Linked DNA regions of Lonchura striata. The protein of the gene in region 1 binds, or shares a complex with, the protein of each later gene. Links are inferred from orthologs where the notes say so. Each region holds a gene or a part of one and is shown in the gene's direction. Other genes may lie near its edges. The genes, in order: THOC1, THOC7, SARNP and THOC2.

Region 1 (7,062 bases):
CCTTAGTGGGCCATTTGACAATCACTGCTGTTTGTGACCATATTTCCACCTATCTGCAGATATAAATTGATAAAAATGAAGTATAATGCCTGGTAGTATTCCAGGAGATCTATGCCAGCAAGTCCCATATCCCAGATAAAGATGAAGAATAGAAAAATCAGTCATTCTCAGATTCATAAGTGAAGCATATAAGTCTTCTAGGTGAATCCAAAATCTTCTACATAAATGAACCCTTCCTAGGTACTCTTGCCAAATTATTTTTAAAAATGCCACCAAAATACAAAATATATCAATAAAACACTTCTGCTGTAACTGGTATGAGAGAATGGGATCATATGGTATATATTCCCCAGCAATTTATTCAATAAATCAAGAGGAAACCCTGAAAGTATTAAATGGACAAGAACATCATAACGAGATTTGACAAACATAAAAGTTGAATACATATTTTGGTGAAAAGTGTAATATACTAATAAAATGCAGAAAGATTCTCTGTTATTCACGTTATAAAAATGTTATTTAAGTTTTCCTGAAGGGCTGTGCTTTGTGTTAATCTTGCTTCTCCTTCGTCAGTCCACACATTATTAATTGTACCTCACAGTCAGTAACAAGCTACAGTGACTGGCAGGACGCCACCTTAAAATTAAGTGCCTAAGGTAGGACACCTTGTATTCATCAATGTTTAAAAGATAAAACTGCCTTGTGCAACTTCCCATGACTGGTGTGGAAACAACAGGTAAGCTAGTTAAACCAGGCTCCTAAGGCAATTTATCCACCCTGTAGTTCTGCACTGAAGGGTGTGCAAGGTGGTGGGGAAGGAAATGGGTTGAGAAGAAAAGCACTTCAGCATGAGAGCTGGAAACTAAGAAGGGAGAACAAAGCACTAAGCCCTCAGGCTATCAGAGATCGGAGGCTTCAGGTCTCCAGATATGCCCTTCTGCAGAAGTGGTAACAGAAATTAAAATTGAAAGATTGATCTTGGAACGGGGTTTTACTCCAAAAGACAGCATCTGGGTGAAGTTTTTTGTAATTCCATCTACACAGCCTCTTGACATAAAATGATAGAACATCTGTTCTAGCAACTGACCTCTGAGTACACAGGTCTCCTGAGATACTGTTGCTGTTGATTGCTTTCATCTATCTGAGCTTTCAACTGGTGATAGCTTTAAATCTGGGCTGAAAAATTATTTGGCGTATAATACTATTATAGAAAGCAATATTTACTTCTTTTTCCCCACCTTAGCTGTGCTAGCTTTCCACCTAGCACATACCAGAAGACACAGCTTTTTCTAACATACTAACATATCTAATTTATAATTAGCTACATTGACAATATCACTGACTGCTCTTTATATCCAGGATAACTGCGGCATTTTAATTCACGGGTATGCAGCACTACTCCTCTGATTGAGTTTCTGATCCCCCAAATCAGATTTTGTCTGCCAGCCCAGAGCACAGTTTGGCACCTCTGTTAAGGTGATGAGGATGGCTCTAAGCGATGTTGTCAGGTGCTGCACGGTGACACCACCACGTTGGCAAGCAGAAGTGCCACGCCGCTGACATTGCAGGGCAGGGCTCTGCCCGGGGTGCACAGCAGCTGCTGGGGCGAGAGCTTCTTCAGGCACTGCAGCCTCATCTGTCCGCAGCACAACAGGAGCACTAACAGCCCAGCGCTCATCCCCACCTCTCCGCGAGAAAGTAACACCGTTCCAAACGGGAAAAATTCGGTACAGAACAAGAGGTGGCTATAAACCACTATTAAATCACATTGTTCTTTATCTGTTCCTACCCCAAGGAAAAAAACTCCTCAGTCATGTTGTACTCATTAACAAATATACTGCACTGCTTTTTCAGTATGTTGGCAGTTCTCTCCGTTCATCTAAAACATTAGTCTTGGCTTAAGGAATATTTCTAGTCAAAAATGACTCAATTTTCTTTAGCAGTATCTCCTTACTTTCACTTCTATCATCTTTTTAAAGTGTAAAGCTTTTTTTATAACCAATTTATAGAGTTCTTCTTTGTTTCTCTTTCTTACAGCAAGAGATGGGGGCTAGAATAATTTCAAATTGTTCATTTAGAATGGCCATTTATTCAGCTGATAATATTATTTAATTTATTAAAGTAAGAGATGAGAAATAGTGGAGGGGGAGGGGGGAAGTAAACTTTCGCCCAAGCCTGAATGAACAACATTCAGCAAGTCTCAAAGCACACGCAGGTGACTCATTCAAAAAAGACAGATCATGTGGAGCCTTATTTTCAATGTCATGAAGCCTCTTCCCCCATGGTTTGAAAGGAATTGGCATCCTCTGGCATTGCCCACGTTTCTTAGGCAGTGTCAAGCAATGATTTCAGTTATGGATGAGGTGACAAACTCTGGGCTGGCAGGGTGCCTCCACCTCCCCATTAGCGGAGCAGCGCCTGGAACCAGCCACCCAAGCGCGGGTCAGGCCGCCCCTCCCGCTGCATCTTCCTTTTCTGGGCAAACACTTCCCTCTCCCGGTACAAACGCTAACTACAGCCACACCACGCCATAAATCATGCCCCATATATTCCCATCTATCCTTTCATGCTTTACTTTAAATATTTGCACTTAATAATGACAATAAACTTAATTTTAATATTACTCGCCTCTTCCCATATGAACGGGATATTCGATGTTTGAGCTTTTTCCCACGTTTGATCAAGAGTTTGGCAGTACCTGTGCTTTTGGCCGGACACCAAGGTCACTTCTACCCCTGACAATTCTATGATTCTGATTCTATGATCATGATAAATGTAATTTATCAAATATTTCTGTCGCCCAGGAGGTATCTGTAGGATATTGCTCAACCTGTAAATTGTCAGCACTGAGGTGATTTTACTGATGATATTAAGTCCCTAATCATTTTTACTTCAGTGGAAATGGTGGGAGACTGTGGTCTAGGGTTTTTTATCAGGAAAAAAATAACCAACAGTTACATCTGTAGAGTCATTTCAGCTTTGGTAATAGTGAAATGTGAAAGGTCTGGGCACAGTCTGATGAGGAGTGGCTGAGGAAGCTGGGGTTGCTTAGCCTGGAAAAGGGAGGCTCAGGTTGTTGTTCAAAATAGGTTCATTCACCTGATATTTAAGAAGCCAGTCCACAATCTGAGTCGAGGTGTTTTATTTACTTACAGTCCTGAGCAGAGGACTGCCGAGCAGCAAATCCACAAAGCCAGCACACTGACTACCAATATGTTTCCCTATTTATACATTTTAGCAAACAAAGGCATTAATGTTCACTGGCAACAAGTTGCATAGTTCTCTTATTAATTTGTATTCTATCTTCTGTTAGTTAAGTAATTCCCTCATACTCACTCTAATTAATCGCTATGGCCAGGCCTTCTCCTGAGCCCATGGGTCGGTGGTTGCAATCTCCCTGTCAGAATTACCTTATACTCAGCTCCAGCCGATTCCAGCACAGTTGCAGAGTTGGCTTTGTCACTTCCGTCCTTATCTCGGGAGTTCTGCCAAACTTTCTGGTGACCTGCAAATGCTGCATTCTTTTGTGTCCACTCTCAGTGGCACATCCTTCTCCTCAAGCTTAGCGGACCATCCGAGATCACTGAACCATGTCAAATACTAAACTTTTAACAAGCCAATTCCACCGAGAAGCCATTTATCCTTCTAACACCTGCACGTCAAGGGAAGACCTCATCACCCTCTGCAAGGAGGAGGCTGTGCACAGCCGGGGCCGGCCTCGTCTCCCCGGCAACACCGACGGGACAGGAGCAAACGGCCCCAGGCGGTGCCCCGGGAGGTTCAGCCTGGCCACCGGGAACGGCCGCCCCGCCGGCGGGGCTGCCGGGCATTGGAACGGGCTCTCCAGGGAAGCGGCGGAGGCGCCATCTCTGGAAGCGTGCGGATGTGGCCCTTGCGGACGCGTTTTGGCGGCGGGCCGGGCAGTGCCGGGTTAGGGGCTGGACCCGACCGTCCCGGCGGCGTTTCCCGAGCCGCAGCCGGGCGCCGCTGGGCGCGGCCGGGCCCGTCCCGCCGCCGCTGCCGCGTCCCGCCGGGAGGGCGGGGCCGCGGCGTCATCCGCGCGCGCCCGCCGCGCCGCCCGCCCGCCGACATGTCGCCGCCGCTCTTCAGCCTGCCCGAGGCGCGGCTCCGCTTCACGGTGAGCCTCCCCCGCCTCCCTCCGGCCTTCGCTCCATTCCTGCCGCTCGGGCCGGGCTACGGGACGCGGCTGTGCCTCGGCGCCCCCGGGCCCGCGGCCCGGCCGCTCCCTGATGGAGCTGGGCGCGGCCGAGGTGCGGCGGCGCGGGGCGGCAGCGAGGGCGGGCTGCACGCCCGCTCGGCCGGGGCCGGGGGACCAGTCACCAGGGTAGCGGAATTAATGTGAAAGACAAAGTGTAGCGTGCCTCCTGCAGCAAAACGTCCGGGCGTACTGCGTTTGCTGCCTCTGCTGAAGGATGCCTTTCCTGTCCCAGAGCTGGGGGCTCCGTGTGTTCCCAGGCCTCTGGATCCCGGCGTTTGCCAGCCAGGTTGTCAGACAAGAGGATGGGATTTGCACTGAAGTGCTCGAGGCACAAGCACTCGATTCATTAGACCGAATTTGTAACAGGAAGTCGTAATTTTTAGACCATCTTCTTAGCAGGAGTCGTGTGCTTTTAAACATCTTCATAAACGCAGGACTTGCAGGGATCCTATGCAAGTTTGAAGGTGATAGAAAATTGGGAGGAGTTACTAACTCCCTTGAAGACAGCGAGAGGCTTTCAGGCACACGATGCGATTCTTGGGGCTGTCTGTGCAGAGCCAGGAGTTGGACTTGATAATCCTTGTGGGTCCCATCTGACTCAGAATATTCTCTGATCTGTGTCCCAAACCACCATAACCACCTGAAGCTGTGAGTGTAGCACGTGAGACAATGATGGATACAGTGTTGGTGTTTGCACTACACTGTTACCCCAGGTTTGAGGTGTGATGCTCTGTAGCTCACGTGCTTAATTTCCCATGTACTTGTTATTTGCCCTTCCTATTACAAAGCTCTCTCTGTAAACTAACACAAGGTGTGTGGCAGAAGGATTCCTTAGTATTTCTGCCCACTGTCAGATGAAGGAGGAAGATGCTTTAAGTTTTGTGCTTTCCTTAGCTTTTCTTTCTTTGCATTTTGGTAGACATCCACCAGAGAGGCTCTGATTAACAAAAGCATCAAGCCATTGTTGAATGCATTTAACCAGGTTCCTGGAAGGTAAGTAAAGGCCACTTGATTTTTTAAAAAGTACCTATTTAGATCAGTTTTAGTAATCTTGTGCCTGAGGGTTGTTACTAACTATGGTGGAATGTTTTCTTTTGCAGTGAAAATGAAAAGAAGTGTACCTTGGATCAAGTTTTTAGAGTTGTTGTAGAAGAAGAAATAGTAAGTATTTTAAACTGCTGAAGCTTATCTCTTCTTCAGCCTCAAATTTCTATTAGCGGGCTCGTGTATTAATGTAATAACAATTTACTTTAGTGTGAGAAAACACTTTATTAAAAACAAGAGCTATGTAATGGTGAGGTAATTGAGATGAAATACAGATGATTCAAGGAGATTGGTAGAATCTTGTATTTTACAGACATCACACTATGGTGAGAGCTGTTTGAGCCTTTTCTAGCAGTTCTTTGTAATGCTTATGAAAGTCTGCTACATCTTAAAATTCTAATTCATAAACATGCATCGTTCAGTAATTGTTCTTTAAGAGTGGGTGGAAAGGGTAGGTTTGGAGTAGATGTCAGAAAGAAATTCTTCACTGTGAGGGTGGTGAGGCACTGGAACAAGTTGTCCCAAAATGTTCTGGATGCTCCATCCAATGTGGAAGTGATCAAGGTCAGGTTGGATGGGGCTTTCAGCAACCTGGGCTAGTGAAAGGTGTCTCTGCCCCTGGCAGCGGGGTTTGAGCACTGAGATATTTTGCCCTCCTCAAATCAAAATTCTTTTGTGGTATGTTACTAATATGTAACAAAGCTGCCTTGTCAGCTGAAAAGAATGATAAAAGGAGTCAAATAATGTATGATCAAGTAATATTCAAATGAAGTCTGAATGTGGGATACTAATTTTCAGAAGTAAATGACTGTACATTTGGGTCTTTAGTGGGTGGAAGCAGTCAGGAAAGGTTTAATTTTCAATAAAAATTCAACTGCAGTTAACTGATAGGTCAGATTTCATAGATTGTTTTGAAAAGTTGAATTTCAGCATTTGTTTTAAATATGCCTACTTGGAAACAAGAATTTTACTTTTGTTAGGTACATTATGGTTAGTTTGGAGAATTTCAACACTGTTTTCTTTGTTTAGATAAACAAAGCTCCATGTGAGAATCTCCTGGCAATTATTTCTCTTGCTATTAATGGAGTCACAGAAGGTGAGCATTTCTCTTTCAAATCTATTGGCAGTTTCAAAGACCATTTAGGGAAATTTTAAAATCTTGATTTCTGTAAATCATCTGCTGTGATTACATTTGGTGATATATAGCTCTTATGTTAGTGGTTAAGCTTGGATTTGTTTCAGAAGAGAAATTAAGTATAATATAATTAAATTTGGTTATATATGTGACATTTATGTTGGAAAATTTTTGTTTGTTTGTTTGTTAATAAAAAAAGATGAATGGGTTTGGTTGCAGCATGATTAGCAGTTTCTTTGTCCAGCACTCTAAAATGATTAGAAGTTTCCCATCATAATTTTAAAGATGAGACCACTGAGGCAGAGAGGTAAAATGACTTGGCAGAGGCAGAAATAACATCTCCTGGGTATCTGTGCTCATCTCCTGTCAGTATATGGCTGGTTTTTACATATTTAAATCTGTTTTAATGACAGCTTGTGTCAGACATCAGTGTGCTGTTCTCCTCTGAAATGGCTTTTGCTCTCTTCCTTTTCTTTATTTGTTCACATTATTCATCAAAAATTGTTTGTTTTAGTAAGTACAGATTACAAGCTGTATGTTTTGTGAGCTGTAGAATAACAAGAACTGTGCTTTGAGGAAAGCAGTCACTGCCTACAGAGCATGGGTGGATGGACTTGGAGCTCTGTTTTAGTGGTTCTTGAAAAGGTTCACAGGCTTCATGGAT
Region 2 (7,933 bases), on another chromosome or scaffold:
AAATTAAGTCACCCTGAAAACATCCTACCAACAAATTAAGAGCATGCTAGATAACTGCCTAATCCTGTCAAAAAACCTCCAAAATAACGTCTGCTTTCTTACAAAACACATTGAAACAGAATCACAGAACAGCATGAAATGCCATACCAAAATTACCTGAGTCACTTTAAATCACAGAATGCAGACATCATGTGGGATCTCTGAGCCATTGCACAGGCAGTCGACAGTGTTAATGATTTTCAGATTAAAAGAAAATTCTAACCAGCTAATCTGTTCTTGCAGCAGCTTCATGACACAGAGTTTCTCAAGACACCTGTTAAAACACCTTGACTTTCTTGTTAAGTGGGAATCTACCAAGCCCCTGGGAGTAGGAATCATGACCCACAGTGCCACTCCTGCTAATCCCACTCTAACAGAGCCCCTTTTGGCACACACACAGGGCACACTTCCCTTTGCATCTCTGCACCTAAAAGCTCTGGCTTCTATACTCAATACCTACACATCCAATATAATGAAATTCCAAGCTGAGTTTGACAAGCTTTAATAAATTAGTCACAGATCATCCTAAAATGTGCAATAATTGATCCTCAAGCTTCATAAATATTCAGTAGGATCTGGATATGAAATTTGGAAAGCTGTTACATAATTCCTGTGAAGATAGCTGAAAGAGGACAATATCAGAATGCCACCTGTGTCATTAAGATTAACTAAGACACAGAGCCCTTACTTAGGAAAAAAAAATTCAAAGGACCATGAAGCACTATTTTTTTTTTTAATTTTATGACTAAAATAAGCTTTTCTCCCTTCAGGAGAAAAATAGTAGTGATAAAATGTCTTTCTAATGAACAAAATATTTCCAGGACTAATATTTTGCAAGATGCTTCCATCAAAACTTCAGAAATTTTACAGGCTTCTTTCAGTTACAAAATAAAAAATAACAAATAAAACCAATACTGTAGACCACTACTTGTGATTAAACTATTATCTGATAGGAGCCTGGTATTTAAAGTATGAGATTAACAGCACATTTAATCAATCTTGGTAACACAGGCAGAATACAGCAAAATTGACTGCTGTTTAGATAATAAAATGTTGCATTTTAGAATTATTGGTACTATCACTACAGTCACAAGTATTTTCACCCTCCCTTCTTCCATTCTGCTGTAATTCTATGAAAATGGGCTGGCTCTGCAGAAAGACAAGGGTCCATGTCAGGAAAGCTTTTTACAAGGCTGAGAATCACTCGCTACTTTTTATACCTCAATCACTGGGTTGAAAGATTTCAGGTTTATCTGCCAAGAGTGACTATTTTAATATCTGCAGAATTAGACAGCCAGTGTCTTAGAATTTTTACAGAACAAGATGACAAGCTCTTGGAACACTGATGCTAATTTTCAGTAAATGCTGAGGCTACAGAAGACTGCAAAGATAATAAAACTCTAACAATTTCAAATGAGAAAAACAGCCTGATAGGTTAGCTTGTTATCCATCTTGCACAGAATCCCGGTATATTATCAACAGAAAGATAAAGGATGGTGGTAAAAAGTAATGCTAAACATAGGCTTACAGAAAATAGGTCTCACTAAATAAATTTGGTATGGCTTTCTGACAAGAATATAGGTTGGACTGGATAAAAATACCCTGCAGTTTCTGACCTACTATACTTAGATCTCTTTAAGATTTAGTGTTACACAGAAGTCTGATTTAGAAGTTAGTCAACATGAAGAAAACCTGGACTCTAAAACCACCTCATAAATTATTAGGGAGGCAAAAGAAAAATATTTTTAATCCACCTTGTCAATAGTTAAAGCTGTTTTCTTAGCTCTTAAAAATCATAGTTCATTATAGGCTGGAATACTATAAAAAGCTTCTTCCCCTTTAACTTTTTGTGTGGTTGGGAAAAAAAATCATATACACACACAGTTAAAGAAAAAGGGAGGAGGTATACAGTCACTTTAAACTTTTGCTCTCATAGATTGTTTCTCAGGAAAGAAAACTTCAGCATTAACAGATTTCCTCAATAAAAAAAAAAAACATCAGTGCACTTAAAAGCCATATTTTCAGGAACAAAAAAAAAGTATACTTATGAAAAAATCAAAGCCAGTTCCACACACGTGTAACATCTTGCAGTACTAAACTTACCTAGGTTATACTTCTTGCATCCAGAATCACCTGGAAACATTACAGAGGATTATTTAACACTTTTGACAAGGACAGATGTGCAACAAATTATTATGTATAAGCTGATCCAGGGTCTTACCATATGGCACACATAAAAGAATTCAAGGAAAGAGGGAAAATTGTGTGACATTTTAGCTTGGTTGAAAGCACACACAGGTACTTATTCCAAAAGAGCTGGCACAAAGTCAGGTGCTGTCCCCCGTGCAAGAATTTTTTCCTATTGTGTGAATCTCCACTACTGATGCTTTAGGGAAGGTTCAGTTGAAGGATTATATAAAAGACTGTGGCTGATAGAATCTGCCCAGAGTACCCAAAGTGGTGAGGTACAGATAAATAAGAATAAGTTAACCCAGTTTTAGAGATCTACACCATACATCACACTGAATTGATGGCAAAGGCATGGCTGTATACAGTCCAATGCAACACCCTCCACACGCAAGAACAAAGGTTGTTTCACATTTACAAGAAGAGGAATTCTACTTGGAAAACAGAAACTTGCAAAACAGAAACTCCTAAGACACAGTGAATTCTCAAATGCATACAGGAACCCAGCAAGCTGGACCTGGCTTCCCAATCAAAAACATCCCATGGATACTTAATATGTCAAAATAGAGCAAGAGAGAGAACAAACAGGCTGTTGCATCAATACCTAGCCGTAGTGAGATTCTTGATGATGTATTTACCAAGTTCTACTTCCATTCTAAAGGAGAAAAGTTAATGAACATTGATGATGCCTGAAAGCCCTGTCTTAAAAAGAAAAATAATGGCTTTGTTCTCAAAATTGTTCTTATGAGCTTAAGACCTGGAATAAAAAAAATCATAGAAGCTCGTAATTAGTAACACATACGAAGAATGGAACAAAAGGCATTAAATGTTATTAACTAGTCATATGTACTGCTGTATTCTAAATTGATTACTCAAGGACTATCTATTTGTCATTCTGGAGAGCTTAACAAGACCATCTGACCAAGAATGGAATGATGAACAAAGAGTGAGAAAAGATTGTATTGGATTAAATGACAGAAAATCACAGAGAAGTTTTGAGATGGTTAAATAAATAATTGTGTATTTTCACCCACAATAGTCTTCTGTTCTGACCAACTTCCCTCTGTGATAAAAAACAAAAGGGCTCAGGAAATGGAAAGAGCTCAGAGAGGTGTAAAAAAATATTAAGTCTTGATTAAACTGGATGTTTCAAAATGCTTAAGACTTGCAAAAGGAAATAAGTGGATAAAGAGAGAAAGGCAGGAACTGTACAAAATTTGCATAGAGAACTTCAGCTAGGTCTTCTTCTCACCCTTTGGCAAAATACTAGGCTGTACCATAGTGATCAAAGCCTTAAGAAAAACGAAGTTTTAAGTCAAACCAACAAATGGCAACATATCAGAGTTCATAGAAGTGAACACCTTCAGTACAGCTTACATACTTCATGAATGCATGGCCCATTCTTTGGCCCAACTTGGGTAACTGGGTAGATCGTTAGGTTTTCATATACAATTATATCACTCACCAATCACATAAGAGTACATAAAAACTTCAAGAACAGTTATCCAAGTTTCCTATGTTGGAAACGCTTTATTCCTAAAAGTTCTGGTGGGAGTTTTAATGACCGCTCCCAGTAATGCTCCCCTAATAGAACCTTCCAAAGGGCCTGATCAGTTGCCCGTTGAAGACAAAGGACTGACTTGAAACAATCTAGAAATCCGTGAAGAGCTGTTAAATGCCTCTATCAAGAACAAGAAAGAGCCTCTTAACCTCTCAGAGGTCTAAAACCAGGAACTAACAGATGATAGCACATATTAACTTTGTTCTTTTCTCACTCTAATTTTCCCCACCATCCTAAAACTGTCAATGGATAGTGTCCAGCAGAACAAGACAGCTGGCCACTTAACTGTTCAAACCAAAATTAAGAGGGAATAGAAAGGTGTCGGGTTCTGGTAAGCCTCATCTACTGTGATATACACTACAGTAACATTACCAGCACTGTGCAAGCATCCAAGCCTATGGACCAAAAGCCTTAAACTCAATACATGGTAACACCTTAATATATCTTTTCTCCAGACGCCTCTAGCAACGTTTTCCAGCACCAGCTTAGTTTGCCAGGACAGGAAGAAACAGCTATTTTTCCTATCTGCTGATCATAGCCAAACTCACCAGGAAACATCAGAACAATTTTTGGCCCTGCTGCATGTCCTGACACCTGTGCCATGGGCACGTCCTCCACACCGTCACCAGCGAAAAGGCACCGAGGAGCCATCGCTCCCGCTGCCTCCAGCCACCGGGGCTGGCCAGGCAGCACAGGGGATCCACCACCCTCACAGTGCCATCTCAACGACACCGTGACAGCACCATCCACCGCCACCACGGCGGGCCCGTCCGCCGCTCCCGCGTGCCGCCGCCGCCGGTGGGACCGTGCGGAGCCCTGCGCGGGGAGCTCGGGAGCAGCGGGGCGCTGGGCAGGACACCCCGAGCCGGGAGCGCAGGCGAGGCGGCCCCGACCCCGGCGGCCTCGATGGCGCGGGACCATGTGCCGGGGGCATGGCGGGGCGGCCGGGCGGGGGGCGGCGGGGCCGGTGCGGGTGGCGGGGGCGGGGAGGTGGAGCCTGGCTGCGGGACCGCCGCTTCCCTCCCCCGTGGGGCGCTCACCTGGCGGGGCCGCCCCTCGCCAGGGGGCCGGTTCCACGCGGGGCGCGGGGCTCGCCCGCCCGCCCTCCCCGGGCCGCGCGTCCGCCGCCCGCCGGCTCAGGCCCCAGCAGCCGCCGCCTCCCCCTCCATGGCCGCCGCTCTCGCCGGCTGCATTGTGGGAAGCTGACCTCACTCGCTGCTGCCGCCGCCCCGCCGGCTCCGGCACTCGCCGCCATGGGGGCCGTGACCGACGGTGAGACCTCCCTCCCTCCCTTTCTCCATCCTCCCCTCCTCCCTCCCGCCCCGCGCCGCGACCCCCGCCGCGGCTCCCCGCGGCGCCGCGCCCCCCGCCCGCCCTCCGGGGAGCGGCTGCCGGGCCCCCGCGCCCGCCCGGGGCCGCTCGCCCCGCGGGCCGGCCTGCAAGGCGGCCCCGGGCCCGCGGCTCAGCGGACCCGCCCGCCGCGGCTCCGGGAGCCGCTCCCTGCGGCGCCGGGGGCCGGCTGCCATGGCGTGAGGGCTGAGCGGGAGCCTCTCCGCAGATGAAGTTATCCGCAAGCGGCTGCTGATCGATGGCGATGGAGCTGGCGACGACAGGCGGATCAATTTGTTGGTGAAGAGTTTCATTAAGTGGTGTAATTCCGGATCTCAGGAGGAAGGGTATCTGTTGTTTTGCTTCGGTTTTTAAAGTCTTGGAACTGCTTAGCTTGCGTTTCAGTGGGGAGCGGGGCTCGATCCGTTTGGAAGAGGTCCGCGTTAAAAATGTGCACAGCTGCTTTTCCTCGGCTCTGTGGTGTTTCCAGGACAAACGCCGAGGACTGTGCTGGGAGAGGAGGCTGCAGACGGGTCAGCAATCGCCGAGGGCTGCGGGCTGTATCGTGAAATCTGCCAGCACCGCTCCAGTGCCCGCAGGATGCTGTGCCTGCTGCGTGCTCCAGCCAGGAGTCCCGCTCTTATAACAGGATCATGACTCGGATATTTGAGTTGGCAGTTCTGCGTTTGTTCTGTTAGGGAAGGGAAATACTGCTGGTATTTCTGCTGCTGTCGTTCTCTCTTTTTTATTTATTTATTTTTAAGTCTAAATTAGTGAGTAACGAGTGACAGCATTCTGTAGGGTCTGTGTTAGTAATGGATATAAAATCCCAGAGATCACAATATTACCAGTGTGTATACAGAGAAGCACTGCAGTATTAAAATACTAATTTGGTGGTACAGAGCCAACCCGAGCTGGAAAATTTATAAGCCCTGGGTCAAACTGCTCACTGCTTTAATACCCACTCTACACTGAAAATGAAATGATGCTGAAATCAATGTGTACAGGGTTTCTAGCTGCACTTCCAACAAAAACCCCAACTATACACTGAATATAATTTCTTTATTGAATAATTGCTATTTAGCTGTCCCTTAAGCTACATGAAGTTTTGTTTTCTTGCTCTGTGAAGTGAGGAAAAATTTTTATGCTGCTTGAGAGTAAATGTCTTGTCTGTTTTCAGATATACCCAGTACCAACGAATGCTGAGCACTTTATCACAGTGTGAATTTTCAATGGGAAAAACTCTTCTGGTATATGACATGAACCTGAGAGAGATGGAAAATTATGAAAAAATCTATAAGGATATAGGTAAACATGAGAAAATGTTACTGATTTCTGTTTGGCAGTTTCTCCTGCGAACAAGCTCAAGCCTAGTAAACATAATATATACATCTGATGAGTGGTTTGGAGGTTTTTTGGGTTTGGATTGTTTTTCTTACTAGATAGCACTCATATATGTGCTATAAGCATCTTGTAATTACATAGAATACATACAAACAAGAGCTTTTTTAACCTATTGGCATCTATATAGTTTTTAAGCTAATGGAGCTAACAAGCCACCATGTTCTATAATTTAGCAGAATAGCTTATTTACATGTACTGAGTTCAATATGACTCTCTTTCTTTTTAAAAGAAAACAGTATAGCTGCAGCCCATGAGAAGATCTCTGAATGCAAAAAACAAATCCTGCAAGCAAAAAGGATTCGAAAAAATCGCCAGGGTAAGGTGCCATATCTGTATTTATAGTTGTGGGCTTCACTGTTTTCTGATCTTCTAGAATACATTGTATTGGAAAATAGATTCTAAATTTTTGAATGTGCAGGGCATTGTGATTAGTGTATTCAGCCTGGTGGGTTCCACTGACAACTGAAAGTTTTGGCTGGATGGCACAGGCAAGATTGAACCAAATCTCAATGACATGCAGCATCAGGAAAACCTAAAACAGTGTCCTTTCTGTACATCCTTTTTAAGAGGCGTGTTTTTACCCTACTTTTAAAATTATATACTCATAATGCATTGAAATCTACAACACTCTAAAAGATGAGCAGTTGAGAAGAATCAAAAAATGTTTTTTTCATGATAAATGAAATGCCAAAAGTTTCAGAAATACAACATGAAAGGTTTTAAATACAAGTTGATTTGATCAATACTGTAGATAATATTGAACTCAACTGGAAAATAAAATAACCAGTAGGAATGTGGAGTTCTTACATCTTCACGAACATAGTTCTGAAGTGTTTACTTTTTGGTATGTTCTGTCTTGTCTGCAGCACAAATTTTTCCAGGTGAATGAGGTAATTTGCATATTTATGGTCCTACTACCAGGAAATGGCTGTGTTAGTTGCCTGTATAACCATAATATATAACCATAATATTATTCTTAATGTGTAATAGTTTTTAAAAAAAAATCCTCAAAATGAAAAAAAAAATCCATGCATCTTATACTTTTTTCTAAAAATCTTGAATGTTCATGTGTAAAATCAGCACCATTTTCTGCACATATACATTGGTTGTATCGAAACCCAGTGTTTATGAATCAGACACAAAAGACTGTGTGCAGCAATGCAGATCTGTCTTAAGGTGTTTTGAAAAACATTGAAACAGTTTTTCAAGGAAAAAGAATCTGCCATTTCATGATACCTGAGTTTGGGTTCTTGAATCCATATTTTCAGAAGTATTTAGATTAACTATTTAAATGTCTTTCAGAATATGATGCATTGGCCAAAGTCATACAGCATCACCCAGACAGACATGAAACACTGAAGTAAGTATAAAACTACATTAAATTAGAATAGAACAGTAAACTAGAAGTCACCA
Region 3 (7,127 bases), on another chromosome or scaffold:
CCGTGGTGGCCGAGGAGGAGCCGGAGCCGTTCCGGGGGCTCGGGGTGCAGCCCGCGGCCAGCGACACCGAGCTGAGGCGGGCGTGCCGGAGGCTGGCGCTGCTGGTGGGTGTCGGGGACACTTTGGGGACACTTTGGGGACATCCTGGGGACAATTTGGGGACAATTTAGGGACGCTGAGGGTCGTCGCTTGGCAGGTGCACCCCGACAAGAGCCGCGACCCCCGGGCGGAGGCGGCGTTCCCGGTGCTGCGGGAGCGGCTGAGCAGCCCCGAGAGGCGGCGCGAGTTCCAGGCGTGAGTTTGGGGCGAAAAATCCCAAATTTGGGGGTGTAAATCCCATCTCTGGGGTGTAAATCACAAATGTTGGGGTGAAAATCCAATATATTGGGATGTAAATCCCGGGTTTTGGGGTGGGATGGGAGCAGCTGAGCAGCCCCGAGAGGCGGCGCGAGTTCCAGGCGTGAGTTTGGGGTGAAAAAGCCCAAATTTGGGGGTGTAAGTCCCATTTTTGGGGCGAAAATCACAAATGTTGGGCTGAAAATCCAATATATTAGGATGTAAATCCCGGGTTTTGGGGCGGGATCGGAGCGGGTGAGCAGCCCCGAGAGGCAGCGCGAGTTCCAGGCGTGACTTTGGGGTGAAAAATCCCAGATTTTGGGGTATAAATCCCATTTTTTGGGGTGGCAATGCTGGGTTTTCGGGTGCCAATCCCATTTTTCAGGGTGCCAATCCCAGATTTCGGGGTGTAATTCCCATTTTTTGGGCCTCAGGAAGCAGCTGGCATGGTCAGAGCTGGCGCGGGCGCTGGGCGCATTTTTGGGGCTGTAATTCCCATTTTTCAGGGTGCCAATCCCATTTTTTTGTATAAATCCCTTTTTCTGGGGTGCCCATCCCATTTTTAGGGGTGCCCATCCCATTTTTTGGGGTTTCCATCCCATTTTTCAGGATGCCAATCCCATTTTTTGGGTTCTAATTCCCGTTTTTTGGGCCGCAGGAAGCAACTGGCACGGTCAGAGCTGGTGCGGGCACGGGACGTGTTTTTGGGGCTGTCATTCCCATTTTTCGGGGTGCCCATCCCATTTTTCAGGGTGCCAATCCCATTTTTTGGGGTGCCCATCCCATTTTTCAGGGTTCCCATCCCATTTTTTGGGATGCCAATCCCATTTTTGGGTTCTAATTCCCATTTTTTGGGCCGCAGGAAGCAGCTGGCACGGTTGGAGCCGGCGTGGGTGCTGAGGATGTTTTTGGGGCTGTCATTCCCATTTTTCGGGGTTCCCATCCCATTTTTTGGGGTGCCCATCCCATTTTTTGGGCTCTAATTCCCGTTTTTTGGGCCGCAGGAAGCAGCTGGTGTGGTTAGAGCTGGTGCTGGGCGCGTTCCTGGCCCGGCTGCAGGAGGAGCTCAGGGACGCCATGGGCTGCACCCGCTGCGGGGGTGCCACAGGTGGGGACACCGAGGGGACATTGGGGACACCGAGGGGACATTGGGGACACTGTGGGGACATTGGGGACACCGAGGGGACAGTGGGGACACTGGGGACACCGAGGGGACATTGGGGACACTGTGGGGACATTGGGGACACCGAGGGGACACTGTGGGGACATTGGGGACACCGAGGGGACATTGGGGACACCGAGGGGACATGGGGACACCGAGGGGACAGTGGGGACACTGGGGACACTGTGGGGACATTGGGGACACTGGGAACACTGTGGGGACACTGGGGACACCGAGGGGACATTGGGGACACTGGGAACACTGTGGGGACATTGGGGACACTGTGGGGACAAATGTGCCCATGCCCTCAATGACCCCAATGTCCCAAATCTCCCCAGTGTCCCCAGTGTCCCTGGGGGTGTCACTGTGTCCCCAATGTTCCTGGTGTCCCAAATATCCCTGGTGGTGTCCCATACCCAATGTCCCCAGTGTCCCCAGTGTCCCCAATGTCCCCATGTCCCCAGTCTCCCAATGTCCCCAGTGTCCCCAATGTCCCAAATCTCTCCAATGTCCCCAGTGTCCCCAATGTCCCCATGTCCCCCATGTCCCCTCGTGTCCTGGGGGTGTCCCGGGGTGTTCCGGGGTGGCCTGGGGTGTCCTGGGGTGGCCTGGGGTGTCTTGGGGATGTCCTGGGGTGTTCTAGGGGTGTCTCGGGGTGTCCTGGGGGTACCCAGGGGTGTCCCGGGGTATTCTGGGGGTACCCAGGGGTGTACTGGGGTGTCAGGGGTGGCCTGGAGTGACCTGGGGCTGGACACCAGTGGTCAGTCCTTGGGGATGGGATGGTAAGGAGTGACCAAGAGTGCCCGGGCAGTGCCCAGGTACATCCATGTGTACCCAGGTGTGCCCTGGCAGTGCCCAGGTACATCCATGTGTACCCAGGTGTGCCCAGGGGGTGCCCAGGTACATCCAGGTGTGCCCAGGCAGTGCCCAGGTACATCCAGGTGTACCCAGGTGTGCCCAGGGGGTGCCCAGGTACATCCAGGTGTGCCCAGGCAGTGCCCAGGTGTATCCAGCTGTGCCCAGCTGTGCCCCAACCCCTTTTCTCTCCCTCCCCAGGGCCTCCCCCAAGGGCAGCGCTCCCTCCCCCAGCGCCCCCCAGGATTTCCTAGCCCACCTTTTCCAGGGACCCCCCCAAGGCCAGGGGGGTCCCCCCAAGGGGGACACGAAGCACAAGAGGAGGAAGAAGGGGCGGCGGCCGCAGCCGCGCTGAGGAAAAACCCCCCCAGACCCTCACCCCAAAAAACCAAGAACCTCAAAAAAAAACCCCAAAAAACCTAAAAACTCCACAAAAAAAGGGCTTGGAATTTTTTAAAAAATCTATTTTTTTTTATTTGACTTTATTTGGTTTTTTAAAAATAAAATCGAGTGGTGTTTTTTGTATTTTAAATTTAAAAAGAGGGGAGTGGAAATTTGAGGGTCCCTAAATCACGATATGGCGGCAGCACTTCCGGTCTGCGCAGGAATAAGATTAACGTCACTGACGCCGTTGTGGGCGCTGCCATGTTGGTGGGTTCTATGAGGGTGCAGAGCGCGGCGCCATCTTGAGTGTGGGCAAGGCGGCGCTTCAGGCGCCGGTACCGGGATTGCGGCGGGGCCGGAGCGACCGGGAACGACCCGTGGGGGGAGGGTGTGTCCGGTTAGTGCGGGAGATGCGGTTTGGAGCGACGGGGAAGCGGCCGCTGCCGTCATGGAGGTTGCCCGCAACCATCATGGCGGGCACGACATCCATCATGGCGGCCGCCACGCCCAAAAGAGAAGCTCATTTGAATAATTTGAATTAATTGAATTATTTGAGTTATTTTAATGATAACAAGAGGGGGTTGTGGCTCAGGAGCTGCGGGAAGCGGAGGCTGTGCTGGAGATTGGAAGTGTTTTTAATGAGAAATAGAAAGATATGCAGTAGTACTAAATAAAGTTATTAATAAATTAAGTGATAATAATTTATTAATAAGGGAATAAAGCAGCAGCCCTTGGGAGCAGCGACTGGAGAAGGGAAAGGAGTGGGAAACGCAGGAATGTTTTGGAAAATGGCCCCAAATTTGTGCTCTGCACCGCTGGGTGAAGCACAAATGAATGAATTATAATGAATGAATTTATAACAAAGATTTAATGCAAAGCATTTAATGCACATAAACGGTAACTAAATAACGCAAATATATGCAAATTTTCGGTAATAATTAAACAACAATGAAATTAAATCATAACAAAGGCTATATTTTAATAGATAAAAGTACTGCAAAGAACATAGCAACACTCTAAGCAATAAACACAAAATAACCAGAGGTAGTAAATAATAAATATCTAATGTTATCCAGGAAGGTTAATAGTTTAATGAAGGGAGATAATTTTTAATAATTAATTATACCCCAGTCCCTCAATGACCCCGCTCCGCTCCTGGCCCCACCTCCCGGAAGTCCGCGTTTCCCGCCCTCTCTTCCCATTGGCTGTCTCTCAGCACATCCCTATTTCCATTGGTTGATCCGCACGTCAGTCAACATATCCCCGCCTCTATTCCCCGATAAGCCAATCACCGGCGGGCGCTGCCGGCAGCGCTGACCAATGGCGAGCGGCGGATTTGGGCGGGGCAGCGGGGGACGCGCGGCGCTGATTGGTGGGAGCGGCGGGAGGGGCGGGGCGGGCGCGGGGGTGCCAAGATGGCGGCGGAGCCGGTGGAGCTGCACAAGCTGAAGGTGCCGCTGGGAGAGGGAACGGAGCCGGGAAAACCGCGGGGAGAGAACGGGGACAGAACCCGGCAACCGCCACAGCCCGCGGGGGCAGCGCGGGGACTGCGGCTGGGACGGAGGGAGCGCGCGGGGGAACGGCGGGAAAAGGGCCGGAAACTCGGAGGGGTCCTGAGGGAGCTCTGGGGGGCTCTGAGGGTCTTGAGGGGGCTCTGAGGGAGTTCTGATGGAGTTCTGAGGGTCTGAGGGGCTCTGAGAGTCTGAGGGGGTTCTGAAGGAGCTCTGGGGGGCTCTGAGGGTCTGAGGGGCTCTGAGAGTCTGAGGGGGTTCTGAAGGAGCTCTGGGGGGCTCTGAGGGTCTTGAGGGAGCTCTGAGGGGCTCTGAGGGAGTTCTGAGGGGTTCTAATGGAGTTCTGAGGGGCTCTGAGAGTCTGAGGGGTTCTGAGGGTCTGAGGGGTTCTGAGGGAGCTCTGAGGGGTTCTGAGGGAGTTCTGATGGAGTTCTGAGGGGTTCTGAGGGACTCTGAGGGTCTGAGGGCTCTGAGGGAGTTTTGAGGGTCTGAGGGGTTCTGATGGAGTTTTGATGGAGTTCTGAGGGGGCTCTGAGGGGTTCTGAGGGAGTTCTGAGGGAGCTATGAGGGTCTGAGGCGGCTCTGAGGGGTCTGAGGGGTTCTGATGGAGTTCTGAGGGGCTCTGAGAGTCTGAAGGGCTCTGAGGGGGGTCTGAGGGAGCTATGAGGGTCTGAGTGGGTTCTGAGTGGTTCTGAGAGGTTCTGAGGGGGGTCTGAGGGGTTCTGATGAAGTTCTGATGGAGTTCTGAGGGAGTTCTGAGGGGGCTCTGAGGGAGCTTTGAGGGGTCTGAGGGGGTTCTGAGGGGCTCTGATGGAGTTCTGAGGGGGTTCTGAGGGGGTTCTGAGGGAGTTCTGAGGGGTCTGAGTGGGTTCTGAGTGGTTCTGAGAGGTTCTGAGGGGTTCTGATGGAGTTCTGAGGGGTTTTGAGGGTCTGAGTGGCTCCGAGGAGGCTCTGAGGGGGTTCTGAGGGTCTGAGGGGCTCTGAGGGGGTTCTGAGGGGGTTCTGAGGGTCTGAGGGGCTCTGAGGGGGTTCTGAGGGGGTTCTGGGGCTCTGAGGAGGCTCTGAGGGGGTTCTGAGGGTCTGAGGGGCTCTGGGGCTCTGAGGAGGCTCTGAGGGGACTCGGAGTGTCTGAGGGGCTCTGGGGGGTCTCGAGGGGGCTCTGAGGGAAGCGGGAATGGAACCGGGACCGAGGGGAGCGGGGCAGGGCTCCGGGGGAACCGGGAATGGGGGAGAACTGGGAATGGGGGAAAACCGGGAATGGGAGAGAACTGGGAATGGGAGAACTGGGAATGGGAGAACCGGGAATGGGAGAGAACTGGGAATGGGAGAACTGGGAATGGGAGAGAACTGGGAATGGGAGAGAACCGGGACTGGGGGAACCGGGACTGGGAGAGAACTGGGAATGGGGGAACCGGGAATGGGAGAGAACCGGGAATGGGGGAGAACCGGGAATGGGGGAGAACTGGGAATGGGGGAACCGGGAATGGGAGAGAACCGGGAATGGGAGAGAACCGGGAATGGGGGAGAACTGGGAATGGGAGAGAACTGGGAATGGGAGAACCGGGACTGGGGGAACCGGGAATGGGAGAACTGGGAATGGGGGAGAACCGGGACTGGGAGAGAACTGGGAATGGGGGAACCGGGAATGGGAGAACCGGGAATGGGAGAGAACCAGGAATGGGAGAGAACCGGGAATGGGAGAGAACCGGGACTGGGGGAGAACCGGGAATGGGGGAACCGGGAATGGGAGAGAACCGGGACTCAACCCCGATTCCCTCTCATTCTCATTCCCAGGTTTTTCTCGCTCATTCCTGAATTCCTTCTCATTCCCATCCTGTTTTTCTCTCTCATTCCTGGGTTTTCTCCACTCATTCCCAAATTCCTCTCTCATTCCCATTCCCGGATTCCCTCTCATTCCCAAATTCTTCTCTCATTCCCATTTCCGGATTCCCTCTCGTTCCTGAATTCCTTTCCCATTCCCATTCCTGGATTCTGTCACAGTCCAGGTTTTTCCCGCTCATTCCTGAATTCCCTCTCATTCCCACTCCTGATTTTCCCTCTCATTCCTGGGTTTTCCCCGCTCATTCCCAAATTCCTCTCTCATTCCCATTCCCGAATTCCCTCTCATTCCTGATTTTCCCTCTCATTCCTGGGTTTTCCCCGCTCATTCCCAAATTCCTCTCTCATTCCCATTCCCGAATTCCCTCTCATTCCTGGATTTCCCTCCCATTCCCAAATCCCCTCTCATTCCCGAATTCCTCTCTCATTCCCATGCCTGGGTTTTCCCCTCTCATTCCCAGGTTTTTCCCATTCCCGGTTTCCCCCCTCATTCCGGGTTTCCCCCCTCATTCCCGGTTTTCCCCCCTCATTCCGGGTTTTCCCCCCTCATTCCCGGTTTCCCCCCTCATTCCCGGTTTCCCCCCTCATTTCCGGTTTCCCCCCTCATTCCCAGGTTTTTCCCATTCCCAGTTTCCCCCCTCATTTCCGGTTTCCCCCCTCATTCCCGGTTTCCCCCCTCATTCCCGGTTTCCCCCCTCATTCCAGTTTTCCCCCTCATTCCGGGTTTCCCCCCTCATTCCCGGTTTCCCCCCTCATTCCGGGTTTTCCCCCCTCATTCCAGTTTTCCCCCTCATTCCGGGTTTCCCCCCTCATTCCCGGTTTCCCCCCTCATTCCCAGGTTTTTCCCATTCCCGGTTTCCCCCCCCATTCCCGGTTTCCCCCCTCATTCCCGGTTTCCCCCCTCATTCCCGGTTTCCCCCCTCATTCCCGGTTTCCCCCCTCATTCCCAGTTTTCCCCCCTCATTCCCAGGTTTTTCCCATTCCCGGTTTCCCCCCTCATTCCCGGTTTCCCCCCTCATTCCCGGTTTTCCCGAATTCCC
Region 4 (7,571 bases), on another chromosome or scaffold:
TACATACTACAGTAATTGTTCTTGATATAGCATTTTCAAGGAAGATGTATGCAATGGAAGACAAAATGTTGCTTAATTACTTTATTAGTTTTTAATTGTGTCATCATTCTTCAGTGCAGGCAAGCAGGAATTGTCAATGCAATGGTTCCAGCACAGGATGGGAGTAAGGCCCATTAGATCAGCTTGTCTTCATTCTGAAAATAAATCCCTGCAGCAAGTGTCTTACAGATCTCTACTTCTGCACTAACATTTTGCCATTTGGTGATACTGTGATTGAAGAAATAATTATCCTTTTCCCTGTTTTGGTCAGTTTCTTCGTTGTTCAAATCTACCGCTGAAACAGATTTTTGTGTGGGGTCTTTCTGTCTTTCCTTGTCAATGATCAGAAAAAAAAATGAACAGGATTCTTTAGAGTGATAGGCTCTGATGGGGGAGAAATACACATTGAATAAGTGAAACATACTGTCAAGCAAATAACTGATCTGCTGCCTACCAAATCCTGCTCCAATCACATTACTCCAGGCATTGCTTCCAGCACCTTTTCTAACAAAGCCTCTTCTTCACAGGCATTATGCAGAAGAGTTTAATTAGTCTTTCTGCCTTTCATTATTCAGCAGCAGGTTTCATGAACATACACAGAACCAACAAGTTATGTGCATGTTAAGCCCTGACCAGAAGATATCCAGGCCAATTGCGTTTGGAAATGGAACCTAAATCTACAGTTGGCTCTTGCCTGTGCTGCCAAGTGGTAAGAAAAGCAAACAACTCTGAGTGAAAGAATGCTGATTTCTGTGAGCTGAAAATAAGCAAAGCTCTCCATAATGGTGTGATCTTCATTAAATCTGGGACATTTTATAGCTCAGGATGATGCAATGACACTGAGTTTAGCTATGAAAAAACCAAAAAGTTGCAAGATGTATTTGACAATCACTGTCTAAGAATGTTTCTCATTTCAGCTGTCCAGATGAATGGAAACAGCCAGTATTAGCTAATGTTTAAGATTCTTACTTGCCTAAACAGCTTTTACCAAATGGAAATCATCTTAACAATGTGAACTCATGCCTCCTTTGTACCTTTATTTTTTCTGTGTGAGAATTTAGGAAATGTCTACAGAAAAAGAACTGGTACAATCATGAAACAATTACTGTTAAAAGAAAAAGGGGAATTTAGAACAATTAATTCTTACGTGGACATGATACTAAAGCCAAATAATAAAAAAATAATTTCTTCCAAAAAGTAATTCTTAATTGTCTGTGCAGAAAAAGTAAAGCACTCAATTGTTTAACCCTCAAAGCAGATAATAAAGTTGTGCCTTGTCACATGAATAATGGAACTGGTTAATACAGAGGAAAAGAGCTGTTGGATGTTTTATTTCTTTTGCTTTTGTACATTTCCAGCTCTCCCAATAGATGGCTGTAGTACTTATTTTGAAAACCAAGAATAAATACATTTTTATAAGATCCAATTACCACTGATATTTTTTTAGCTATGTATTTGCTGGATAATGTACTACAGCCTTGAAAACCTTGTATTTACTGTTCAGTTAAATAACTTCCTGCTGCTATCCAGCTGTTACCATAGTGGTGACAGAGGCATTTCCTTTAATGTAGCTCGGACAAAGCCTTCAGAGCACTTCTTTATTCAGGCAGGAAGCACAGTAGGTGATTTAAGATTGTGCTGTGACATATCCTGCATTTGCAGGCATCATTCTTCCTTCTTTTCAACATTTTATTTTATTCCATTATTTAGAAAGGTAAATGTAAACCTGTTGAAACAACAGAAACACAAAATTGTCCTGGCTTTTAACAAGGTTCTCTGACTTATTGATACAAATCTGAGGATGCCCAGGATGCTTTTTCTAGCAAATAAAAGCCTCATGAAAAGATGAAGAATGAACTATAAAGGCTGTTTTACAGAACTAAAATATAAGTCTTATTTTTTAACCTAGGAATTCCTCCCAGTTCAGCTAACATCAAGTGCTACGGAGAAAGACATTTCACTATCTAGAGATGTCCACCACAAAAGCAAGGATAAGTCAGAACTGAATATGACTTTATAGTGTGGAACAGACTACTCTGTGTCAAAAATACGTCATTCTGAGAAGGAATTGGTACATACTTATTTTAAAAATATTTTGCTTTGCCTACATTACTTTATGCAATACAAAATGCAATGTCTATGTTTTAGAGCTTATATGTCATATATAGAATCCATATTAATTAAGGAGAATGTATTTTATATAAATATTAAATGTTATGTTAAATAACCACTAAAGGTTTTGTATAGTACTATAGAAATGCTGTGGAATCAAGACTCTTCTCAGAGTAGATTTTAAAACTGGTTCTGTCATGTGTATTTCTGCATTGCATGTACTGTCTTTTATTTTCAGCCTGTCCCAGTCCGTTACTAATATACTTCAAGAAATAAGAGGTTTAAATTCCTTAAGTAAACTTGGGAATTAATCTGTTGGTCCTGCAATGATTTGATGGCTTTATTCTACTGCATTTCTCCATGACTGCCTCTTCCTCCTCATCATGAAGGCAAAATCTCAAATTTTTATCTTCAGACCTTACATAACTATTCCTACATACATCCTTGCACCTAATATATTTTGTTAGATTCTTGTTTTCTGTTTATGTGACTCTTAGGCTTATCTTCTAAATAGACTTATTGCATTTGCTTATAACACCCTCTCATTTTATTCCTCGGGCCTGCAATTCTATGCTTATCATTTATACATATGTTTTCAATATATTTATTGAATTTTTATTTTAAAAATAATCTATCAGAAATAGATTAGGCATTTGTAAACTGAGTGTATCTTCTATTACACTGCATATAGTATGCCTGGAATGTGGTCTCCATATAATTAAAATATAAGTATGAGAAGCAGAGAATCTGCCTCCTTTACTCCTTGTGTTACTGCAGAGTTTAGGGTTGTAAGGGATCCCCTTGAAGTAGGCGTTGTTCATAAGCAGCCTTCTGCACAATATTCTGCACAGCTCGCAGAAACTGGCTGAGAATGGTAACTGAAACAACACCAGTCCCTGTCTCAGGCAGAATTATGTAGATTTGCTGAAATGCTAGACTTCCTGATCAGAGCTATTTTGCGAGTGGAAAGCTGTTACACCTATATATATATATATATATATAAAACAAGCAAGCTGCACGTTTCAGTTCAGAGTGGAGAACAAGGCAGCGAGCACAGCAGTGCTGGCACCGATAACGGCACAGGGGCTGTGGGGCCTCACCTTTAGATTTTATTTCAATTTCCCCATTTGCTGAAGTTTCATTGTATTTGTGAAACAATTGACACTACTGTAGAGGAGGAAGCATGTACAAGACTGAGAACGTAGGTGGCTTGAGAGGAAAGAGAAATGTCTGACTAAAAACATTTGCTACCCGACCAAATGGAGTGTTTTAACCCTAATATCCCAATTAGCAACTGAAGGGAACACAGAACAACTTGCAGAAACTTAATGGAGACAAGCGACATGTAATAAAATAGGCACACGCATTAGGGGCGACACGCGGAATACGAGGTCCATACAACTGCTTGTCCTAAGTGCTTGTATCGGAAGGACCATTTAGACGTGTCATAGCAAGCTTTACACAATCCCTTTTTAACCGCCTATTTATTCAAACGATTTACCATTCTCGCCCTCTCTCCGAGCAGACATCTCGCCGCTCCGCCGTGCTCGGGGCCGGCGGCGCCTCACGCGCACCCGCACCGCGCGTGCGCACATGCGCCCGCTGCACCGACGCACGCGCCACGCGCGGGCACCCGCCCCACGCCTCCAACGCGCGCGCGCCGCGGCTCTAACGCGGACACGGACCGACACACGGCTGTAACCAGGACACACAGACACAGACCGGCACACGGCTGTAACCAGGACACACAGACACGGACCGACACATGGCTGTAACCAGGACACACAGACCGACACACGGCTGTAACCCGGACACACAGACACAGACTGACACATGGCTGTAACCAGGACACACAGACACAGACTGACACACGGCTGTAACCAGGACACACAGACCGGCACACGGCTGTAACCAGGACACACAGACCGGCACACGGCTGTAGCCCGGACACACAGACCGGCATACAGCTGTAACCAGGACACACAGACCGGCACACGGCTCTAACCCGCGCACACAGACCGGCACACGGCTCTAACCAGCGCACACCATCACACCACCACGCGGCTCTAACCGCACACACACACGCACAACCATGCGGATCTAACGCGCACACGCACACACAAACCACTACGCGGTTCTAACGCGCGCACACGCGCACACACACACACACACACACACACACACACACACACACACACAACCACGCGGCTCTAACGCGCGCACGCACACACAAAACCACGCGGCTCTAATGCGCGCGCGCGCGCGCACGCCCCCAGCACCACGCGTCCCTAACGCGCGCCCGCGGAGCCCGACGCCCCCGGGACTTCAGCGCGCACGCGCGCGAGGCGCCCCGCCCCGCCCCGCGGTTCTAACGCACGCGCGCGGGCGTGGCACCGCCCCGCGGCCCCCGCGCGCAGGCGCAGTCCGCCCCGCCGCCTCCCCGCTCGGCGCGGCCGCGTCCCGCGGTTTCTCGCGGCCCGTCCGTCCCCTCTGACCCGGCGCCGCCGCTGCTCCATCCGGGCCCTCGGCGCTGCACGGGGAAGATGGCGGCGCTGCTCCCGGCCGAGTGGATAAAGAACTGGGAGAAAGGCGGCAAGAGCGAGTTGTGAGTGCGGGGCCTCGCCGTGGGGAGGGATGGGCGCTGCGGCCTGCGAGAGGGGGGCGAGGGCCTCGGCGGCCCGGGGAGGCTGGGGGGCGGCGCAGAGGCCTTCGGCCGGGGCTGCGTCCTTGCTGCTGGACGTGGGGTCGAAGCCGTGGTCGGGAGGAGGGCCTGGGCCGCTCTCCCGTCGGGTCCGGCCGGGTGCTGCCGCCCTCCGCCGACGCCCGGCCGCCGTAGCTGGGCCCGGCTGTGCCGGCGCCCCGAGCGCCCCATCCAGCTCCGGGCCGGGCTTGGCGGGGGTCGGGCTCATCTTCAGCCGCCCCCCGAGGTAATGCGGACCCCGAAGCGTGCCTGTGTCGCTGCTCTACAGTACTGACCTTTCTGGCAGAGGCCTCAGCCCCCGTTCCCGCTTTTTTACCGATTCCGGTGGGACTGGCCCTGTATTCTTTGATCCAGGCAGAGTACGGTTAGGTAGTCACTCCTGTTCTATTCCACAAAGTAACGTTTGTTCACGGAGGGGTTCGGTTGCCACCTCTCAAACTAATCCAGGTGTGCCAGGAGCTTTCCATTGTGGGCCTGTGTTTGTTTTAAGCCATCTTTATGTGGCAAGTTCACTAAATGTTGTGTTTCAGGAGTACAGCTCTTCAAAGGGCGCTTCACCAGTTTGGTCATTTCATGTTTCTCTGTTAGCTTAACAGGGGTGTTCTTTGCACTAGCTATATGTTTTTTATGCGCTTTTATTTTAATTCTTCCATGTGCTTTTGCTTTTTGTTGTAAGAAACAACAAAATTTTAAATTTTTCAGTTTTAAATATGAATGTTGCAGGGATCACTTAGAGAAACACTTCCTGATAATCACTCATTTTATTTTCTTTTGTTCGTGTTTTCTGAAAGCTTGTGCAGCTTTGGCAATGAATTTTCTTTGTGCATGAGGGGAAATGGCAGTGGGTTGGAGATTAGAGAATGTAGAGAATCCCGGCACAAAACACTGTTCTTTCCAGAGCCACCATTTTGTAGTGAAGGGGGCCCCCTTTATAGCCGTGTAATTTTTAGTTTGAATCATGCTGGAGCCATTATTTGTGTTAGTACACAAGCTGAACATGTTGAGAGGCTGGTGGAGTTTGCAGGAGAACAGACATTTCACAGCTGATCACGTAATGGCAACTGCACTGTTCTCACTGGGTTCCCAGCTCTCTGAGCTTTGTAAGAGGCAACTTACATGGCTTGTGACCATGATAAAACCTTCTAGGATTGTTCTCTCCCCTCAGAGCAGGACTTCTTTAACAGGGTGGGAGGAGAGTGTTCATCTGCTGTGGGACCAATAAAACAAAATGATTAGCTAGATTCTTGTATTTGTGGTACTTGCACTTCATTTGGAAGACTGCTTAAATGGTGTTCCAGGCGTGACTTAAAGAGCAATTTGCAGATGAGGCCATATGTTTTAAAAGAAATGTAATTGTGTCTGGATAACAGTTGTCAGGTTTTGCAGTGGTAGCTTTAGAAATTTGAGAAATATGCATGAACTTATTTTCTGGAATCTAAAGTATATGCATGTAGACAATATTTAGAGAACTTTTTTAGGAAGACAGCTTTAATGGGAGAGTCTTCAGTGTGTAACTTTTTGTTTCTTTTTCCAAAACTTCCTATCTTCTGATTAACTAGAGGAAAACGCAGCTGGGATGCTATCATTTCAGAATGAAACACATGAAGTGTTTTTAAGCATTAAAGTAAAAAGGGAATAAATGCAATAACACTACTTATTTTTATTGAATTATTTGTCTAATACGAGTATGCCCAAGAATAAAAATTACGTCTAGGTGTAAGTTTACCCTTGGTCTTTGTGGTTGAAAGTGAGGACAATTCATTAAAATGATGTTAGAAAAGTGGGGAGGGGAAGGATGCTACAGAATGGCAAAACTGACATTACTAGCAAATAGAAGAATTACAAAAATTTAGAAGGTTTTTGGTAGGCATTTTAGGGGGATAAAAACCCTTCATAATTGCTAAAAAAGATTAGTTCTTATGGAAAAATATTTACTTGCTGGAGTATGAAATGGCTTACAGGATCTGGCTAGATCAGTTGAGATAGTATTTTGGCAGTAGTTACCTAAATGAGAACACATTTCTATGTTTTGGGGGAATATGAAACTATATTGAGAGAAGAAAATGCTTTCTTTCAATTTGGCATTTCAACTTCTACTAGAATTTATTAATCTACTAGGATTAATAATGGATACTCTAAGATAATTATACTTTTTTTTTTTGTTTTGGGTTTTTTTTGTATTTTATTTTTTTCAATGGTGTGATATTTTTGATTATGTGATCAACTTGTCATGATTTAACAGTGCTATCCAGAAATCAGAAGGTAAGGATTTTATGTCTTAAGAGTGTCATAATGTTAATTAGTAATGCAGCAGTGACCATTTGCTTCCAAGACATTGTTCAGAGACATCGGTCAAAACTGTACAAGCTTTGGATTTAATTAATTAAGCTACTGACGTGTAATAGTATCTAATAAAAATACACAAATGTGGTAGTTTCAAGTTCAGATCTGTCTCTAAGTACACTTTATTAAAATATATTCATTTATTTGCTACTGCCAGATACTGGTGTGCAAATGAAGTTGGAATCCAAGTGTGATGACTTACGCTGCTCAGTCTGGACTCCTTGTAGACCTACTTGTGTGTGCTGTGTTTGAAGGAAAATTATTTCCACAAGAAGATGCTGATCTATGACTGCAGCCCACATGGGCATTTATAAGTTACATAGTAACTGGTACCTTACCTTGTTTTGTGAGAGATTCAACGCATCAAGGAGCCTTT

Evidence for each region.
Region 2: the proteins of THOC1 (region 1) and THOC7 are in contact, whole or in part, in a cryo-EM structure (PDB 7APK), measured with the Homo sapiens proteins. The link is inferred for Lonchura striata from reciprocal best matches to the Homo sapiens genes THOC1 and THOC7. Residues at the interface, in NP_005122.2 of Homo sapiens: Leu10, Arg14, Glu46, Gln53, Arg56, Glu60, Ile63, Ile64, Asp99, Asp102, Cys103, Leu104, Pro105, Arg146, Gln151; in NP_079351.2 of Homo sapiens: Tyr47, Gln51, Leu54, Ser55, Ser58, Gln59, Phe62, Gly65, Lys66, Leu69, Val70, Met73, Arg76, Glu77, Asn80, Ile84, Ile88.
Region 3: THOC1 (region 1) and SARNP share a complex: the UniProt entries of both Homo sapiens proteins name them as parts of the transcription/export (TREX) complex. The link is inferred for Lonchura striata from reciprocal best matches to the Homo sapiens genes THOC1 and SARNP.
Region 4: the proteins of THOC1 (region 1) and THOC2 are in contact, whole or in part, in a cryo-EM structure (PDB 7ZNL), measured with the Homo sapiens proteins. The link is inferred for Lonchura striata from reciprocal best matches to the Homo sapiens genes THOC1 and THOC2. Residues at the interface, in NP_005122.2 of Homo sapiens: Asn134, Arg138, Asn141, Leu144, Arg145, Lys149, Thr153, Cys156, Gly157, Gln160, Leu161, Ala164, Arg165, Phe167, Gln242, Phe245, Arg246, Tyr297, Ala299, Lys300, Phe301, Arg319, His320, Leu323, Gln324, Ile327, Tyr331, Arg373, Phe374, Lys376; in NP_001075019.1 of Homo sapiens: Leu155, Phe156, Tyr157, Lys158, Gln160, Asn163, Leu164, Leu165, Arg166, Asn169, Glu170, Ala173, Lys174, Ile176, Ala177, Gly180, Gln181, Asn195, Lys197, Ser198, Leu199, Ile200, Gly201, Cys202, Phe203, Asn204, Leu205, Pro207, Asn208, Arg209.

The regions. Positions count from the first base shown.
Region 1 is NC_134603.1:48,096,386-48,103,447, reverse strand, and holds the start of THOC1 (THO complex subunit 1), read left to right. Parts: upstream 1-4,053; 5' UTR 4,054-4,090; coding exon 4,091-4,138; intron 4,139-5,138; coding exon 5,139-5,212; intron 5,213-5,319; coding exon 5,320-5,380; intron 5,381-6,292; coding exon 6,293-6,359; intron 6,360-7,062. UniProt on the Homo sapiens protein: Component of the THO subcomplex of the TREX complex which is thought to couple mRNA transcription, processing and nuclear export, and which specifically associates with spliced mRNA and not with unspliced pre-mRNA.
Region 2 is NC_134614.1:17,667,729-17,675,661, reverse strand, and holds the start of THOC7 (THO complex subunit 7), read left to right. Parts: upstream 1-4,927; 5' UTR 4,928-5,040; coding exon 5,041-5,059; intron 5,060-5,345; coding exon 5,346-5,463; intron 5,464-5,733; exon of another isoform or gene 5,734-5,832; intron 5,833-6,296; coding exon 6,297-6,424; intron 6,425-6,749; coding exon 6,750-6,836; intron 6,837-7,822; coding exon 7,823-7,880; intron 7,881-7,933. UniProt on the Homo sapiens protein: Component of the THO subcomplex of the TREX complex which is thought to couple mRNA transcription, processing and nuclear export, and which specifically associates with spliced mRNA and not with unspliced pre-mRNA.
Region 3 is NC_134629.1:9,289,885-9,297,011, reverse strand, and holds the start of SARNP (SAP domain-containing ribonucleoprotein), read left to right. Parts: upstream 1-4,123; 5' UTR 4,124-4,152; coding exon 4,153-4,188; intron 4,189-7,127. UniProt on the Homo sapiens protein: Binds both single-stranded and double-stranded DNA with higher affinity for the single-stranded form. Specifically binds to scaffold/matrix attachment region DNA. Also binds single-stranded RNA. Enhances RNA unwinding activity of DDX39A.
Region 4 is NC_134616.1:9,796,286-9,803,856, reverse strand, and holds the start of THOC2 (THO complex subunit 2), read left to right. Parts: upstream 1-4,565; 5' UTR 4,566-4,694; coding exon 4,695-4,756; intron 4,757-7,571. UniProt on the Homo sapiens protein: Component of the THO subcomplex of the TREX complex which is thought to couple mRNA transcription, processing and nuclear export, and which specifically associates with spliced mRNA and not with unspliced pre-mRNA.